3 linked regions of the Saccharomyces cerevisiae S288C genome follow. The gene in region 3 interacts genetically with the main gene of each other region. Each region holds a gene or a part of one and is shown on either strand. Other genes may lie near its edges.

Region 1 (6,101 bases), 500 kb from region 3:
CGATTATGAAATCAATTTGGTCATAGCGCACCCTGACGACGAAGTTATGTTTTTTTCCCCCATAATTTCTCAACTGAATTCGTACTTTCCGAGAACCGTCCCATTTAACATAATCTGCTTATCAAAGGGCAACGCCGAAGGTCTTGGCGAAACCAGGGTAAGAGAATTAAATGAGTCGGCCGCTTTATTGCTACACAATGAAAGAGCAGTCTCCGTACAGGTGATGGATTTCCAGGATGGTATGGACGAAATATGGGATATTGATTCTATAACTTCTTCTCTTTCACAAAAGATAGATATAAAGAATCATAACTTGAACCAGATTATCGTTACCTTTGATTCATATGGTGTATCAAATCATATCAACCACAAAAGCTGTTATGCTGCCGTTAAAAAGTTGGTGGATGATTATGCTCAACCTAAGACCAAAAGAAATGAACAACCACCTCATGTCACTGCGCTTTATTTGAGAAGCTACAAGAACAACATCGTTTTAAAGTACAACTCCTTTATTTGGGAAATCCTAAAAATACTTTACGACCTGATTTCTCCATTCCGTAGAATAATTCAGGCGCTTCCGCCTAACACAGCCGCCGAAAAAGACAAGCTTTCACTTATGAATACACATGCACAATACGTACTAGCGTTTGCCACTATGCTAAATGCTCACGAATCCCAAGTTGTGTGGTTTAGATACGGATGGTGGATATTTTCCAGATTTGTCTTCGTTAATGAATTTGATGTTTATACATATTAGACTCTACACTGTAGATATATATATAAAAAAGTCCCATATTATTTACATCCTATAGAATAAGAATATGGAGAAAAATAAATGCTAATTCTACTTACACTTTTCTTACCAAAGGCTACCTATAATCATACCATCATCTTCATCGTCATCGAAACTATCTAGCCGCACTTTCTCCCTTTCCTTTTTGTTCTCAATCTTGTTTTTCATTTTCTTACTTCTTAGAAACATACGATTCGCACAAAAAATATTCAAATCTTTGGTCATTTTTCTATCAAAACCATAACTATCAATGAATTCCCTTACCGCTGAAAATCTACCTCTATTTACAAGCTCCTTAATAATACATTTTTGGTATTTGATAATGATATTGTTAACTTTTCCAGCATTTTCTGCTCTCGTTCTTTCGATCCCCGGTTTGAAACTCCTTAAAACATCAATTCCAAGCGGGAAATTGCCTGTTTTCTTCATGATATCGTACAGTTGTCTCAACGTCTCATAATCAACTGAAGGCCTTAGCCGCTTAGATGCATACCACTGCTTCATTAAATGCCAACATCTAACAACAGAAGTGGCTTTCTTGTCGTTTGCTGGTGTCCAAGCAAAATGACTTAGCTGAAACAGCCTTCTCCAAAATAGCGCATCCAATTTCACGTCCGGATAGTGCTTTATGAATGAATCCAAAATACTTAGGCCTCTGTGAAGATCGTGGTCATTAAAGTAGAATGACACTAAGATTGAAACGAGTATTTTGGAACTAGGATAGCACCCTCGGTGCTTAATTACTACGTGACTAGGAAACTCTTGGGGTGATATTTGCCATATATGTTCAATACACCGTTCCAATATTTGGGTTTGGCCTAGGTGTCCAAAGGATTGAATTAAAGTGGACAACAAATCCTCGGAATTCAAAAGCTTTTTCTCCTGCAGAGCAAGATCAGCAATCTTTAATAATGTTTGGTGATCCATGGCTTTGTAAGTAGAAGAAAGACGAATTGACGTATTTTTCGCACCTAGTCGAACCATTTTTCTTAAAAAACCTTGTTTTTGCTCACTATTATCTGGTATTTTCCAATAAGGCGCCAAAGCGCCACAACGCAGTTGTAAAAAGTGAACTATTGTGCTAATATCTGCATTTTTCGGAGACAGTAATATATCAGGATTTCTATCAAGAATAAAGCTTAAAATTTTTTGAGCCTTACCTAATTGACCGAGCTCTATAAAGTTCTTGATCATAAGATTTGCATCAAATATTTCACATGCATCTAGTTTCGTATTCCGTAAGTTAACTTGGTTTCTCTTGGCATCAACTTTTTCTGCATATAAGGAAAAAAGTTTGAACCAAAATTCTGAATATTTAGCGTTTATGTCTCTACAGATTCTCCTAATTTGAAACCGTTGTGTGTATAGTTTGCTCAAAAGAAAAGACAGGTCCTCTAAAGACAGAACATCCTTCGGTTCAGGGTCCACGGTTTTCGCGAATAAGTAACTTATACTCTTGGAAAATTCGGATTCATCCATTCCACTCGAGCTGATAATTCGTTTTAATGTGTGAACATCTATAGGTATACCTTTTGCCTCGAATTTGTCATAAGCGCTCCCATTATTTTCATCTTTTGATCGATCAATTGCACATACCGTGTGAGTTGAATAGGATTTTTTGATTAAAATATCATTTATGACAGCCCTACCCATTACATACGTTCTTCGGGGATAGACAGAATGACATATTGTGCTATTCGGCAGTACACCAAATTCACGCAGCGATTTCACTGATACAGTGCAGAGCCTCTTCGTGTAAAACCTCAGAACACTGTAGGATGGATGTTTAACCAGTCTATTTATCCACATTAATCATAAATTTAGGTAGTGGACTGTTAACGAAGGAGAGCTTCGTTAATTTGTTCTTGATTTTACATATTCTTTTCATTAGCCAATGTCTGAAGGGCTCTTTTTCAATGAACCTTTTCTGTTCAGGATAAACGGTAACCCGCTCTTTTTCTAATAAAAACTGACGTTATTTGATATTAAAATATACAGTGACATTGCGAGTAAACATCTCAGTATTGCCTAACTCACTACATTAAAAAGCTATTGACGCTGTTCAGTGTTGCTCTTGAAGGGTTAACGTTGCGTCCTTTCAAGTGGGAAATCAATTTTGTCAAGTGTTTTCTTACAATAAGCTTACTGATGTCCGGTAACTCCGACGTAAGCATCCATTCTTCAGTATATTTGGTACAAAGGATACTTAAGATGACACCGATTGACATATCAGTACCTGTATTGCAGCATATTAGCATTGGCTTTATTTTTTCATCTCGATTTGTAAACAACGATTGAATTTCTCCATGGATTCTAGGGAATGTGGATCGTAAAGCTTTTGAACTTTTCTTGTCTCCGCTTTGCAACTTGTATATTGAAATAAACGGATCTGTCCCACTTTCTTCTTCATCGTCTGTATCTTCAGCAACAGTCACCGAATTACTGAAAATTATAACTTTACCATATTCTGACTTCAATTTCTGTTTCAAATTCTTATTGATGGTTAAGCCTGAACTCACTTTTCCTAGAGATATCTCATTCGTAATTTTATCAATGTTTCCAAAGACTTCATCCAAGCTTCCTTTATCTTGTATATAACACTGATTTCTCAGCTTTGCAGCAGCCAAATCCATGATGTAATCATGTAACTGGTCGTCTGAATAACTTGCGTCGCCTAGGTATTCTATATGGGCCCAAAACATATTTGAATCCAAACCAAAAGACCAGAGCTCGTGATCGTCGGCTGCACCCTGCACATAAGTGAAGCCGTATCTTTTATCCATACCATCTTGTGCTTGATAGCTTACCGTGCACAAAATAATGGGTATTATGTTTTGGTCTTCAGGTGTTTCCCAGGCTTCATACTCCTGTACTTCACCCGTGAAGTAATCAACAGAATGGTCTAGAAGTGAAGAACCAGGGTGAACCCATATGGGCCGCAATAACTTACCCATAAACAGTTCGTTCAATTTCTTAGAATCTATAATATTCAATTTTTGTAGTTTAGCAACTAGTTCGGGTATTTTTCGCTTAATCATGTCATATTCTGATTTGGGAACTGTCTCAGGTGGAAGATACAGTACCTTATCGATGGCAACATTTTTTTCTGTTTCCTGAAGCATTAACGTATTTAATACAGCACACCATATGGGGACAGTCTTACTCAAAGCATCTGGGATTTTTTTACCTCTTCTAGTACTATCGACAATTATAATACCTTTATTATCTCGAATGGTCTCTAACAAATGAAAGTTCAATCTTCGGGTGCTAAAGTCCCATTGGTTGACATGCCCGTCTGTGCTCTTAAAGTAACTGGTCTGTTTGAAACTTGATGGATTACAGTACCATAGCCCACATCTTTCATTGGGTATCAGTGGATAATGGGGAAATATAGGGATAACTCGATCTTGCAAAAATTTATTGTCTAAAAGAATACTCTGAAGTCGATTCCTTACGGACTTGTTTTCCTTTCTGATGTCTTTATTTATCTGAGATAGCGAAAGATAAATATTTTCATCCATCACGGATATACTAAACTGTACTCTGGATCTATATCTCTTTGATAGCCTCGATACCATCCATCAAGAGATCAAAATTTTCAAGCATGCTTTTTTTTTCCTGCATATGAACAATGAATAATGGGCCCAGTCACAGTTAAGCAGTAATAAGAACAAAGCACATAAACATACAACGCATATATGAAGAGCAATAGAGTGGTGGGATGATTTTAGAAGTTCATTTTTGATGAAGATGATAAGATTATGTAATAGCGGCTATGCTAAGCTCCCTTCGGGCATGGAAATCAACAAAAAAGTTGTAACCGTACATAATATGACGGGAAATGCAACAAGCTTTCCAAGAAGTAATGGAAGGCATAGCTAAAGGACTATCTGGCTCGGCCATAAGTTTGAAATTTGTGTATACAGGTATAGGAAACCCTTATACCTACCTAAATCGTCGAAGCTACTGATATATTGCGTATAGTCGATATGCCCAATGTAATTCATATTTCATACTCTTCTCTTGTACAGATTAAGGGCACCTGTTTTATTCTTAGAATATACTACAACCTGCCTACTAATTAACAATGATACTATTAACGGTGCAAAACCGGATGCTCAAATTTAAAGTGATTACTCAGTTATAAACACGCCTGGTGTGAAATTAACGACCATTAATAAGAATAAATATTACTGGCATATTATAATATGCGGTGGAAAAACATAAAATAAGGATTGAGAAATAGTTATCAAGTATAATGGAAGCTGAAGTGCAAGGATTGATAATGTAATAGGATAATGAAACATATAAACGGAATGAGGAATAATCGTAATTTTATTATGTAGAAATATAGATTCCATTTTGAGATTTCTATCCTCGAGGAGAACTTCTAATATATTCTGTGTACATAATATTATATAGCCTTGATCAACAATGCAATCCCAACAATTATCAAATTATTCACCCAATATTCAGTATAATCCATATTTATAGAATATATAGGATAATTATCATCCCCTCAATCAAGTTGATATTCCGTTTTGACAACAGGTCACTTCTGCAAGGTTGCTTATATTAAAATTGTGAATAAGCATGATATTAGACGGACTCATAATTGAATGGTTATCAGTTAATTGACTCTCGGTAGCCAAGTTGGTTTAAGGCGCAAGACTGTAATTTACCACTACGAAATCTTGAGATCGGGCGTTCGACTCGCCCCCGGGAGATATTTTTTTACTTTTGATTACCTTAATTTTTGAAGATTCTCAATTTCATGTATTAGGGATTGCTTTAAGGTAGCTACCAAATGACATTCTCTGTATTACTGTTCTAGTTTTCAACAGTAAAGCTATGATTTGTTAAGTGACTCTAAGCCTGATTTTAAAACGGGAATATTATGCGCTCAGTCACTAATGCATTTGGCAATAGTGGAGAACTTAACGATCAAGTGGATGAAACAGGTTATAGGAAGTTTGATATCCATGAAGGAATTTTGTTTTGCATTGAACTATCAGAGACAATGTTTAAAGAGTCCTCTGATCTAGAGTATAAATCACCATTGTTGGAAATTCTGGAATCACTAGATGAGCTAATGTCACAATTGGTCATAACAAGACCTGGGACAGCTATTGGTTGCTATTTTTATTACTGTAACAGAGAGGATGCCAAGGAAGGTATCTATGAACTTTTTCCATTAAGGGATATAAATGCTACATTTATGAAGAAATTGAACGATCTTTTAGAAGATTTATCATCGGGGAGAATAAGCCTATACGACTATTTTATGTTTCAACAAACTGGGAGTGAA
Region 2 (5,627 bases), on a different chromosome or scaffold from region 3:
TAATATTTAAGCAACAAAAGGACAGCGATAATTGAGTGGTGGCTTAATTCTATACTCCAAAGTATGTCCCAATCTAGTAGGTTAAGTGCACTTCCTATTTTCCAAGCATCGCTTTCGGCAAGCCAATCTCCACGTTACATTTTTAGTTCTCAGAATGGCACAAGGATTGTTTTCATTCAAGATAACATAATAAGGTGGTACAATGTACTCACTGATTCACTTTACCACAGTTTGAACTTTAGTCGTCATCTCGTCTTGGATGATACCTTCCATGTAATATCTAGTACGTCTGGTGACCTACTCTGTCTTTTCAATGACAACGAGATTTTTGTAATGGAAGTTCCTTGGGGCTATTCCAACGTTGAAGACGTTTCCATTCAAGATGCATTCCAAATTTTCCACTATTCAATTGATGAAGAAGAAGTTGGTCCGAAATCGTCCATTAAGAAAGTTTTGTTTCATCCAAAGAGTTATCGTGATTCTTGTATAGTGGTTTTGAAAGAGGATGACACTATCACGATGTTTGACATCCTTAATTCGCAAGAAAAGCCTATCGTTTTGAACAAACCGAACAACTCCTTTGGTTTAGATGCACGTGTTAACGACATCACAGATTTAGAATTCAGTAAGGACGGATTGACGTTATATTGTCTAAACACCACAGAAGGCGGTGATATCTTTGCATTTTATCCATTTTTACCGTCAGTATTACTGTTAAATGAGAAAGATCTCAACTTGATCCTAAACAAATCTTTAGTAATGTACGAGTCCCTGGATTCTACAACAGATGTTATAGTTAAAAGGAATGTTATTAAGCAGTTACAGTTTGTGTCAAAACTGCATGAAAATTGGAATTCAAGATTTGGCAAAGTCGACATACAAAAGGAATATCGTTTAGCCAAGGTTCAAGGACCATTCACGATAAACCCCTTTCCCGGCGAGCTGTATGACTATACTGCTACAAATATTGCAACCATACTAATTGATAATGGGCAAAATGAAATTGTTTGTGTCAGTTTTGATGATGGGTCTTTAATCTTACTCTTCAAAGATTTGGAAATGTCAATGTCGTGGGATGTTGACAATTACGTGTATAATAATTCTTTGGTTCTAATTGAACGAGTCAAACTACAAAGAGAAATTAAGTCTCTAATAACGTTACCTGAACAGTTGGGAAAACTTTATGTCATTTCCGATAATATTATACAACAAGTAAATTTTATGAGCTGGGCTTCTACATTGAGTAAATGTATCAACGAATCGGATTTGAATCCACTTGCAGGATTGAAATTTGAAAGTAAACTTGAGGATATTGCCACCATAGAAAGAATTCCAAACCTAGCGTATATCAACTGGAATGACCAATCTAATTTAGCCTTGATGTCGAATAAAACATTGACTTTTCAAAATATTTCAAGCGATATGAAACCGCAAAGCACCGCAGCTGAAACAAGTATCAGTACAGAAAAAAGTGACACGGTAGGAGATGGTTTTAAAATGAGTTTCACACAGCCCATAAATGAGATTCTTATTTTGAACGATAATTTTCAAAAAGCCTGTATTAGTCCATGTGAACGAATTATCCCATCAGCAGACCGCCAGATACCTTTAAAAAACGAAGCTAGTGAAAATCAGTTGGAAATTTTCACGGATATTTCCAAAGAATTTTTGCAAAGAATTGTTAAAGCTCAAACTTTGGGTGTTTCTATCCACAATAGAATTCATGAGCAACAGTTCGAATTGACGCGCCAACTACAATCGACATGCAAAATAATTTCAAAGGATGATGATTTAAGGAGAAAATTCGAAGCACAAAATAAGAAATGGGATGCACAACTAAGCAGACAGTCAGAATTAATGGAGAGATTTAGTAAATTGAGCAAGAAGCTATCTCAAATCGCCGAATCCAATAAATTTAAAGAAAAGAAAATAAGCCATGGTGAGATGAAATGGTTCAAAGAGATACGAAACCAAATATTGCAATTCAACAGCTTTGTTCACTCTCAAAAATCCCTTCAACAAGATTTATCGTACTTGAAGAGTGAACTAACTCGTATCGAGGCAGAAACTATCAAAGTCGATAAAAAGAGCCAAAACGAATGGGATGAGCTACGCAAAATGCTTGAAATAGATTCAAAGATAATTAAAGAATGCAATGAAGAATTGTTACAAGTTTCTCAGGAATTTACTACTAAAACTCAATGAGTAAGCGACTTGCATAGTCTGCTATCATATATGTACGCTAAGAAACAACTGGGCAATGGTATAATATCATGTAGCAAGAGGACATTATATATGAATTGGTCAATATATAAAGCCTTCTGTGCACCAAATCGTTAGGATGATTTTTCAGTATGCTGTATCATTGTATCGTATATTCATTCGTATCTCTTTTACCTCACTAACCGCTGCCAAAATTTACATGTATACAAAATAAAAGTCTTTTTTATGACCTTATTTGGTGAGTAATGCTACTTTTGTAAAGAGTGATGGAAACTATTATTCCAAAGGGTTAGAAGAAGGTGAGGAATACGTTCATATCACCGCTACAGATCGTGTCTCTCGGTTATGAGTAATCAAACCCTCTGCAAGCAACACAGTTACTTTTTTTCGGTTTTTTCTTTTCGTGTGAATTTTTATCCAGTGAGTTTCCTTGTTCACTTTCGAGAATGGAAGGCTGATTTCGAATTTTTATATTCAACAACTGTATTTGTATTAGGCTTTGCAATAGTAGATGAAAAGTGCAGAAGACGAATCTGCTACCCTCACAATACAAAGAAAAACAAAATCGTCATTTTAATATAGGAAGACACCGCTCAGGTAATTCAATATTGAATCTGGTTGCACTTTTCTTACGATGTAAATACCCACAAACTTCTTGTACGGTGAGCGTCTGACAACGAAATCAATTTACGGAGCAAGGATTTTGACAGTAGAGCAGATTGTTTTGAGTAGGATTTAGGAATCAAGACCTCCATCTTTGTCGCATTATTCCTAAATGTAACGTAACTCGTTTGATAAGAGAATGTCTAATCGAAGAGAGTTAATAACTTAATAAGCTCTTTAAAAGAACGATGGCATTTATCGTCTCCTATGCCAAGATAATTACTGGCTCAAAATTGTTCAGCGTTCATAAAACTTTGATATCACTTTCTGGCGCACAAGCTAACCTTTATGTAGTTCTTACGTAGATTCTTTTTAGCAAGTGCCTGGTAGTGGTTATTACATAAATGTATCTTTTCATTTGATAACAATTTCTTCAGTAGCATGTCGTGTCTAGCACGTGACGTAGAACTGTGGCTTTTTTGTTGTCATTATGACAATCAAGATACCAAAATTCAGTCATGTTTAAAAGGGGAAGGTACGATAGAGATATATATAAAGTGTTCAATTTACTATAATTGCGTATAGAATCCATTGTTACTTGCTCTCAATGAAACAACGATTCATTCGTCAATTTACGAACCTAATGTCTACTTCGAGACCGAAAGTTGTTGCCAACAAATATTTCACTTCTAACACTGCCAAAGATGTTTGGTCGCTAACCAATGAAGCCGCTGCAAAAGCTGCCAATAACTCCAAAAACCAAGGCCGTGAACTTATTAATTTAGGCCAAGGCTTTTTTTCATATTCCCCTCCTCAATTCGCCATTAAGGAGGCTCAGAAAGCCCTAGACATTCCAATGGTCAATCAATATTCTCCAACTAGAGGTCGACCTTCATTAATTAATTCCTTGATTAAGTTGTATTCTCCTATTTATAACACAGAATTGAAAGCGGAAAATGTTACCGTAACAACAGGTGCCAATGAAGGTATACTTTCTTGCTTGATGGGGCTTTTGAACGCTGGCGACGAGGTTATTGTTTTTGAACCTTTCTTTGACCAATATATTCCAAATATCGAACTTTGCGGTGGTAAAGTTGTTTACGTCCCCATAAATCCTCCAAAGGAATTGGATCAAAGGAATACTAGAGGTGAAGAATGGACCATTGACTTTGAGCAGTTCGAAAAAGCGATTACATCCAAGACAAAAGCTGTCATTATCAATACCCCTCACAACCCAATTGGTAAAGTTTTCACGCGCGAGGAATTAACCACTTTAGGTAACATTTGCGTCAAGCACAACGTTGTGATTATATCTGATGAAGTCTATGAACACCTTTACTTCACTGATTCTTTCACTAGAATTGCCACACTCTCTCCAGAAATTGGGCAACTAACCTTAACGGTCGGTTCTGCCGGTAAATCGTTTGCTGCTACTGGTTGGAGAATTGGTTGGGTCTTATCCTTGAACGCAGAGTTGTTAAGTTATGCAGCTAAGGCACATACAAGAATTTGTTTTGCATCTCCATCCCCTCTACAGGAAGCTTGTGCAAACTCTATTAACGACGCTTTAAAAATTGGGTATTTTGAAAAAATGAGACAGGAATATATCAACAAATTCAAAATTTTCACATCGATCTTTGATGAATTGGGACTACCATATACAGCTCCAGAGGGTACATATTTTGTCCTCGTTGATTTCTCTAAAGTGAAAATTCCCGAGGACTATCCCTACCCAGAGGAGATCCTGAATAAGGGAAAAGATTTTCGCATTTCTCACTGGTTGATCAATGAATTAGGTGTGGTTGCCATTCCACCAACTGAATTCTATATCAAAGAGCACGAAAAGGCTGCTGAGAATTTGTTAAGGTTTGCAGTTTGTAAAGATGATGCTTATCTAGAAAATGCCGTAGAGAGATTAAAACTACTCAAGGACTACTTATAAGATAAATTTTTTTTTATACTCCTTTTTCTCAATATATAGATTTTATAAAGCATGTATATTTTTATGCAGAAGTGGTAAATATAAACATCAATATTCCAGAATAATTCCATATTTTCTTCGCGTACTACAAGAAAAAGTGAACCCTTAATGAAAAATAGACAATATGAACATTTAGTAATGTTTTGAACAGTGTATTTATAGAGTACTTAAACACATATGAAGATATAGCGCAAGTAAATATAAATGAGTGACAAATCTCATCAGATATATTGCTACTTTTGGCTCTTTGGTTTGATCAATAATGTACTTTATGTGGTAATACTTTCAGCAGCTGTTGATATCGTGGGTCCTACCTTGCCTAAATCTCTAGTATTGCTAGCAGATATATTCCCATCACTCGCCATTAAATTGTGTTCCCCATTCTTTATTGATAGAATCAAGTACAGCTATAGAATATGGTCTTTGATCACGATGAGTTGCTTAGGAATGTTCTTAGTTTCTTTTAAAAACTTGTTTGTTTGTCTTTTAGGAATATCTTTCGCATCTATATCTTCCGGATTTGGAGAAGTGACATTCCTACAGCTAACACACTATTACAAACAAATTTCTTTGAATGGATGGTCGTCAGGTACTGGTGGTGCAGGAATCATTGGCGGAGCATCTTATATGTTCTTAACTTCAATCTTTAAAGTTCCAGTGAAGCTAACTTTACTAGTATTTAGTCTCCTTCCATTTGCATTTTTGTTTTATTTTAAATTAGAATCCAATGATACCAACCTGACTTACCAAAGTCTTCAACAAATTGACGAAGCAGAGGATGACCAGTTGGTGCCCTTTCCTGTCGCCTTTACACATACCA
Region 3 (5,765 bases):
CCGGATTGATTTCTCCTGTACTTGGTGAAGTGAGTGAGAGGGCGGAGGCGCAACGTGCTATGGATGAAGAAATTGCAGAAAGAACTGAGGCCTATAATAAATCATCAAATGAATGGGAAACGATGGAACGTTCTATCATTTCTAATGACGCCAAAGTATTGACTACTACGGCTAATAGGCATCAAACCGAAAAAAAGACCTCCCAGGAAAAGATTAAAGCCAGCTTTGATGCACTTGTGGCCAGAATGGATACCAAAGTCGCTGAAAGGGAAACTCTGCTTGAAGATACCAAGAGCAAAGAGATCGAATTTAAAAAGCAAATGCAGCAAGAGTTAAAGGACGAAAAAGCTCGTCTAGATCAAGATTTGGAGGAATGGGGTAAGAAATGTGAACAAGATATCACTGAAGCGCGCAAAGAGCAAGAAGAACTATTGAAACCTTACCATGACGATCTGGCAAATGCAGAAGCGGAACACAAAACTTTAGTGGAAGAGCGCGATGAAATTAACGCAGAAATCTCAAGATTGCAGGATGCTATAGTTGACCATAAAAGAAAGATCTCTGGTTACGGAAATGATCTTGACGCCCAGAAGAATAGAAATATCAGAGAGGATGACAAATTACTGGAACTAGGTCAAACTAAAGAAAGCTTGGAATCCCATTTGAATGATGACGTTATTATTCTTGCTAATAAGGCTAAAGAGCAGGCTGAGTTATCAACCAAGGAGGCCCGTCTGAAGCAATTGGAAGTGGATTCGTTGATTAACGAACGTAAGAGCGAGTTGAACGCGACCGAAATCGAGTTAAAGAAGGAAAAACTAAATTTGTTGGAAGCTATGAAAGATGTTGCTTCTGCACGTGGCGATGATAAGATTGACGAAGAGAAGGTTAAAAAATTGATTGGTATGACTTCTGAGGAGTATTTAACACAAAACAAATCCGTCGAGAAAAATGTTGAAGATTTACCAACCCAACTTGAAAAAATAGAGGAAGGTGATGAACTAAAGAAGGAAGAGATAGTGGGAGCCGAAACGAAAAATTCAGGTGGTGATGGGGTTCCGGTGAGTACTGCCGCAAAAGAAGCTACCGAAACTAGTTCTGCTGTTCAAACAAAGGAACCTGAAGAAAAAATTTCGATCGGAAATAAATCAAGTGGAAAAGAAGACGCTAATGATTGTAAATCAGCGGAGCATTCAAAAGAAATCTCGGTTTCACAGAAAGCAGGAAACAATAAATCATTGGGAGTTAGCCCTGATAGTTTGGAACATACATTTAGTGGCTTTTCACAGGGTTCTTCGATCGAAGACGATCAGGATGCAATTAGTAATCAAGAGAAAAAATAATTGCTAGTGAGCCTAGATAACGAAGAAATGGTGCGGCTAAGATATTGAACAGTTGAGTGGGATACTACAGAATTTTGATAATTAAGATAGTTCTCATCTGCGCTTTAATTATTCTTTTTATGTGTATAATATATGTTTATTGCCTTAATTTAAATTTAATATTTGTATTTTCTTTTTTTTGTTTAATTTGATTACTTTTGCTTATGAAATAGTATATATGGTTGTTTTACTTTTTTTTTTATTTATTTGATCTAAGTTTTATGTATGCAGATTAAAAGCAAGTTTTAATTAATTGGTATGTTGGTTTTGATTATGATTATGAGGAGTACCGCTATTGCTATTGTTTAAATTACTACTGTTGTGTTCCAGTTCATTCACGCCTGGATCAGTTTTGAAGTATACTTCATCCGGCAAAGTATCTGTTGAAATTATTGAATATTTGATGAGCCAATTTCTCATTGGTTGGTAGTCTAAAACAGAAAACGGAATGTTTAAATCGATAAGAATCTCTATCAAGTCGTTCATGGCTATTTTCGATTGAAGTTCTCGAACATTTTGCTGTTGGACCTGGTGGTTGATGAGGCTCGATCCGGTTTCAGGATGATTTCCGTTGACGTCCCCTTTTTTCTTCTTTTTCTTCTCTTTGAATTTGGCATCTGGTTCAACAAGTAAATCACGCATCAATCTAGATTGATAGTCATAGCATTCCTGGAAAAGTGGAGAATTATGATCAAAAAATTCGGTAAAATTATTTGGTGTTAGCTGGACATCGTGAACTTTACTCAAATGTCTTTGATACTTTCTAGAACCATGCTTCTCTCTACTGTTCTTATCTTTCCATATCATTTCTTGATTGCAAATTCGCTTGGTTCTACGGTCATAAAATTGGCAATATGTGTTGATAGTTAGAGGTGATTTAGCAAATAATAGTTTAGATAGATGGTTTCCCTTAATATCTCTTCTCTTGGGAATGGGAAGCTCCAAAGTTTTCATAATGTCTGATCTAAAATTTAGTGTTTCTGAAGACAGTAGCTGCATATTATTCTCTATGAAATCTACCACTTGTTGCTGTTGCCGTTGAACTGCATATTTAGAATCCTTTGTGCTATTCGATTCAATAGTTCCCAGAGGAAGCGACTCATCATGAGTAACGTTGACAGGAGATGACTTGGCAGATACGGTAGCAGAAGAAAAATCTGGCGAGAAGTTCTCTTTTTGCAAATAATCCGGTACCATATTCATATTAAGTATCCTTGGAGTTTCCATCTTGTTGGGCGCCAGATACATCTCCTCACGAGGAGTCCCACTACGGTTGGCAGGAAAATTAGGCAGTGTCGCTATATCAACCATGCCTCTATTGTCTTGAGGAGGGCCTTTAGTGGTAGCAAATTTCCCCATTTCTGGATTTAGGTCCTTCATAACTGCTTGTAGTTCTATCTCCTTGTTTTCGAATAGCTTCTCAGAAAGTAAAAAAAAGGATAATATTACAGTTTTTGATCTACAGAGTCCCTTTTTGTACCCCTCCACTCAAATCGTTCTGATACGTACGTCTCTAGGTGTCAGATGATGGAGTAACTTGCAGATGTTTTACATGCGTTTCTTTTGGTTTACGCGATAATAGTTCCTTATTAAATGTCAAGAAAGTGCTAGTTGCTTCAGTTGTTTTAAGATTGATCTCCACTCTCTGCGTCTTCACATGCGCGGGACAACTTTACAGGAAAACAAGGTTTAAGAGATAACCTATTCGGGTTTTACGTAGGATGATCTATTATAGTCTATTCAGTTTTTACTGCTGCACCATCCCCTAGGCTTCTTTGTTGGGATATGGTATAGTACTCTATTGGTCTTAACTTTGCGATCTTCCCCGTCGCGTAATCTTAGATAAAAGCCACCTAGAACGACTAAATGTGAGGAGCAAGCAACAACATTAATAAAGAAACCCAAAAGAAGTAAGTGCGTGTAGTTAGACCGGAAAACAATATGGCTATTAACCAGGCACATGTTCATCCGCATTACACGTTACCTGGTGTAATGCACTACTTGCAAACGGAGTTCACGAAGAATGAAAGAGATAGAATCACCTGGGAGCTAGAAAGGTCGGAAATGAAAGCAAGAATTGCAGAACTAGAGGGCGAAAATAGAGATTTGAAGCATCAATTGAATCAAATACAATCGAAAGCTGTTTCTCCTGAAGGTGAAAAGGAAGAAAAACATGTGCCTGATTCATTACTGCAGTCTAAGCTAGCTGTTCAAGAAAATGTGAAGGAAATAATTTATTTGTTGAAAGGCCCTAACACGGTCAATCAGTTAGAGTCATTAAATAGCAGAGAAGCGGGTTCTGAATTGCACGATTTAGAGAAACTGAACGTGAATACTCCCAAGGAAGAGGGCAGTGCGAAGACAAATGGGATGGATATTTTAAATAATGCCCTCTTGGACACCAAACCCAATCCAAAGCAAGGTCCTTCAGAGTCACCATCACCAACCAAAGTGAAATCTTTGTTTAGCACAGCCAACAAGCGTGAAAATAATGAAACAATATCCAAGATACACTCGGAATTGTCGAAAGTCGACATTATCAGCTCCTACGGGGACTGTATGGCACTTTATGATGCAGACACCAAATCGTTAGAAATACACCAAGTGGACGCAAACTTGAATTCCAAACTCTTAAAGAAAATATCTTTAGGGCAAGATAGCGACATTATGAAATTTTTCTGGGTTTCGACGTCCAAACTCCTTGTTATTGAAAAGAGTTTCCATTTGAAATTGTTCTCTATTTCTAGCGCATCTTTGATCTCAGATGTGGACCTATTACAAGACTCAGAACAGCCGTTTTCGTCTAGTGATATCATTAATATAGACTTCAAAAATAAATGGTTGTTGATAGCTAGTAAGAATAAATCTCAAATTAGAATCTGGGAATTGGACAATATAGAGGCTCCTGAGGATGTCCCAATTAACATAAAAGAAACATATGAAATAACACATGATAATGATGACGATGATAGTAATGATTCCACAAACATTCTGGATTGTATATTGGGTATAACAGAAAAATCCTTAATATTACTGTCTTCAAATCCATACCAGCTTACCATATATGATTTCGAGGGTAAGCTTCTACAAAAAATTGATTTGAAGATTGATACAATATTATCGGGTAAGCCAGAAGAAGAAGGTTACCATTTATTTTTGGATAGAAAAACTTCTAAGCTACTGATTCAGCTAAGCAATGAGAGATTATTGGTTTATTCTTTTGATAAGAAAAAAGTTGTACTGAAGGAACAATTGACTCCATCGTCAACACTACCAATACAACTCGATTTGAACGACAGCATAATCACCGTATCATATAGTAATGGAGACTTTGAGTTTAGGAATTTAGAAAACCTAAAACCATCCATCGACGAATTTGTCGTAGCAGACATCAACTTCTCGGAAAGAAAAGAGCCTGTGGTATTTTCTTCAAATCTGATTGTAGATTCTACGCCGGTGTTAATCACCGTGAATAAAAATAACGAAGTCCTTTTGCACAAGATTAAAATATAACTGATGTAGGCAGAAAAAAAAATAATATATGAATCTGTCTAATAGATACTTATGTGTACGTATATAGGTATTTTTTTCTATCCTCTATTCATGGTATTTCCGCTTCCCTTAGCATGACTTTCCTTGAACTCGTCCCACTCACGAGCTTTATAGGTTTCTCTATCTTGCCAGTCCATGTTTTCTTCATCTGGTGCTTGCTCTGGTTCTTCGCCACCTTGAAGAACGCGACCTTCTTCAAACTCTTTATCTAAAAATTCCTCCACCGACATTGTTGGTCCATATTGACCATATCCTCGCACTTTTTGTTGCAGTTGTTGCCTTTTGTCGACAAGCGTGAAGTTCCTCAAGACTTGACCTTTTTTGTCTATCAATGGCTTATTTATATTCTCTAATTTATCGGTAAAACCAGTGGAATCATCATCATTCGATTCTTTTCGTATCTGAGTACCTGATGATTTGACTTCATGTACGGAATTTTTGAGGAAATTAGAGAGCATTTCACATTCAAATAAATTCTGTTCAATGTTGTTAATCGTATCAAGACTAAAGTGATGTAACCTCATCAAATATAGTTCTCTTAGTAATTCATCATGGTCGTGGTCCTCGTCGTTGTTTTTTAATTCCAACTCCAAGCAGTGCAGTTTTGTGCTAATTTCTTTATTGCGCTGGAATAGCTCAATCTTTTCTTTTCTCTTCAACTGTGCTCCAGATAAATCTTTGTTATTTTTTGGTTGCGCGTACAATTCGCTAAGCTGAGGGTTATAACGATCCTTGAAGTTACCTAGTTTTTCACCAACCAAAGGATCTAGAAGCTTATAATCCTGCAATAGTGTCAGGAAATTAATGAAAGATTCAACGCTTTTTTTCAGG

Evidence for each region.
Region 1: mutations in RSF1 (region 3) and AEP2 together harm fitness more than expected from each alone (negative genetic interaction), as found in Saccharomyces cerevisiae (one large-scale study listed by BioGRID).
Region 2: mutations in RSF1 (region 3) and BNA3 together harm fitness more than expected from each alone (negative genetic interaction), as found in Saccharomyces cerevisiae (one large-scale study listed by BioGRID).

What each region holds. Positions count from the first base shown.
Region 1 is NC_001145.3:832,497-838,597, forward strand, and holds AEP2 (Aep2p), read right to left. Parts: upstream 2,603-6,101; coding exon 860-2,602; downstream 1-859. Other genes in the region: GPI12 (N-acetylglucosaminylphosphatidylinositol deacetylase), read left to right, coding at 1-757; RIT1 (tRNA A64-2'-O-ribosylphosphate transferase), read right to left, coding at 2,830-4,371; ATP-dependent DNA helicase YKU70, read left to right, coding at 5,691-6,101. UniProt on the Saccharomyces cerevisiae protein: Required for translation of the mitochondrial OLI1 transcript coding for the mitochondrial ATP synthase subunit 9.
Region 2 is NC_001142.9:319,953-325,579, forward strand, and holds BNA3 (kynurenine--oxoglutarate transaminase), read left to right. Parts: upstream 1-3,433; coding exon 3,434-4,768; downstream 4,769-5,627. Other genes in the region: linker nucleoporin NUP82, read left to right, coding at 64-2,205; amino acid transporter YHC3, read left to right, coding at 5,012-5,627. UniProt on the Saccharomyces cerevisiae protein: Catalyzes the irreversible transamination of the L-tryptophan metabolite L-kynurenine to form kynurenic acid (KA).
Region 3 is NC_001145.3:327,790-333,554, reverse strand, and holds RSF1 (Rsf1p), read right to left. Parts: upstream 2,763-5,765; coding exon 1,632-2,762; downstream 1-1,631. Other genes in the region: EIS1 (Eis1p), read left to right, coding at 1-1,343; FAR8 (Far8p), read left to right, coding at 3,324-4,895; TAP42 (Tap42p), read right to left, coding at 4,973-5,765. UniProt on the Saccharomyces cerevisiae protein: Mitochondrial and nuclear transcriptional activator required for respiratory growth.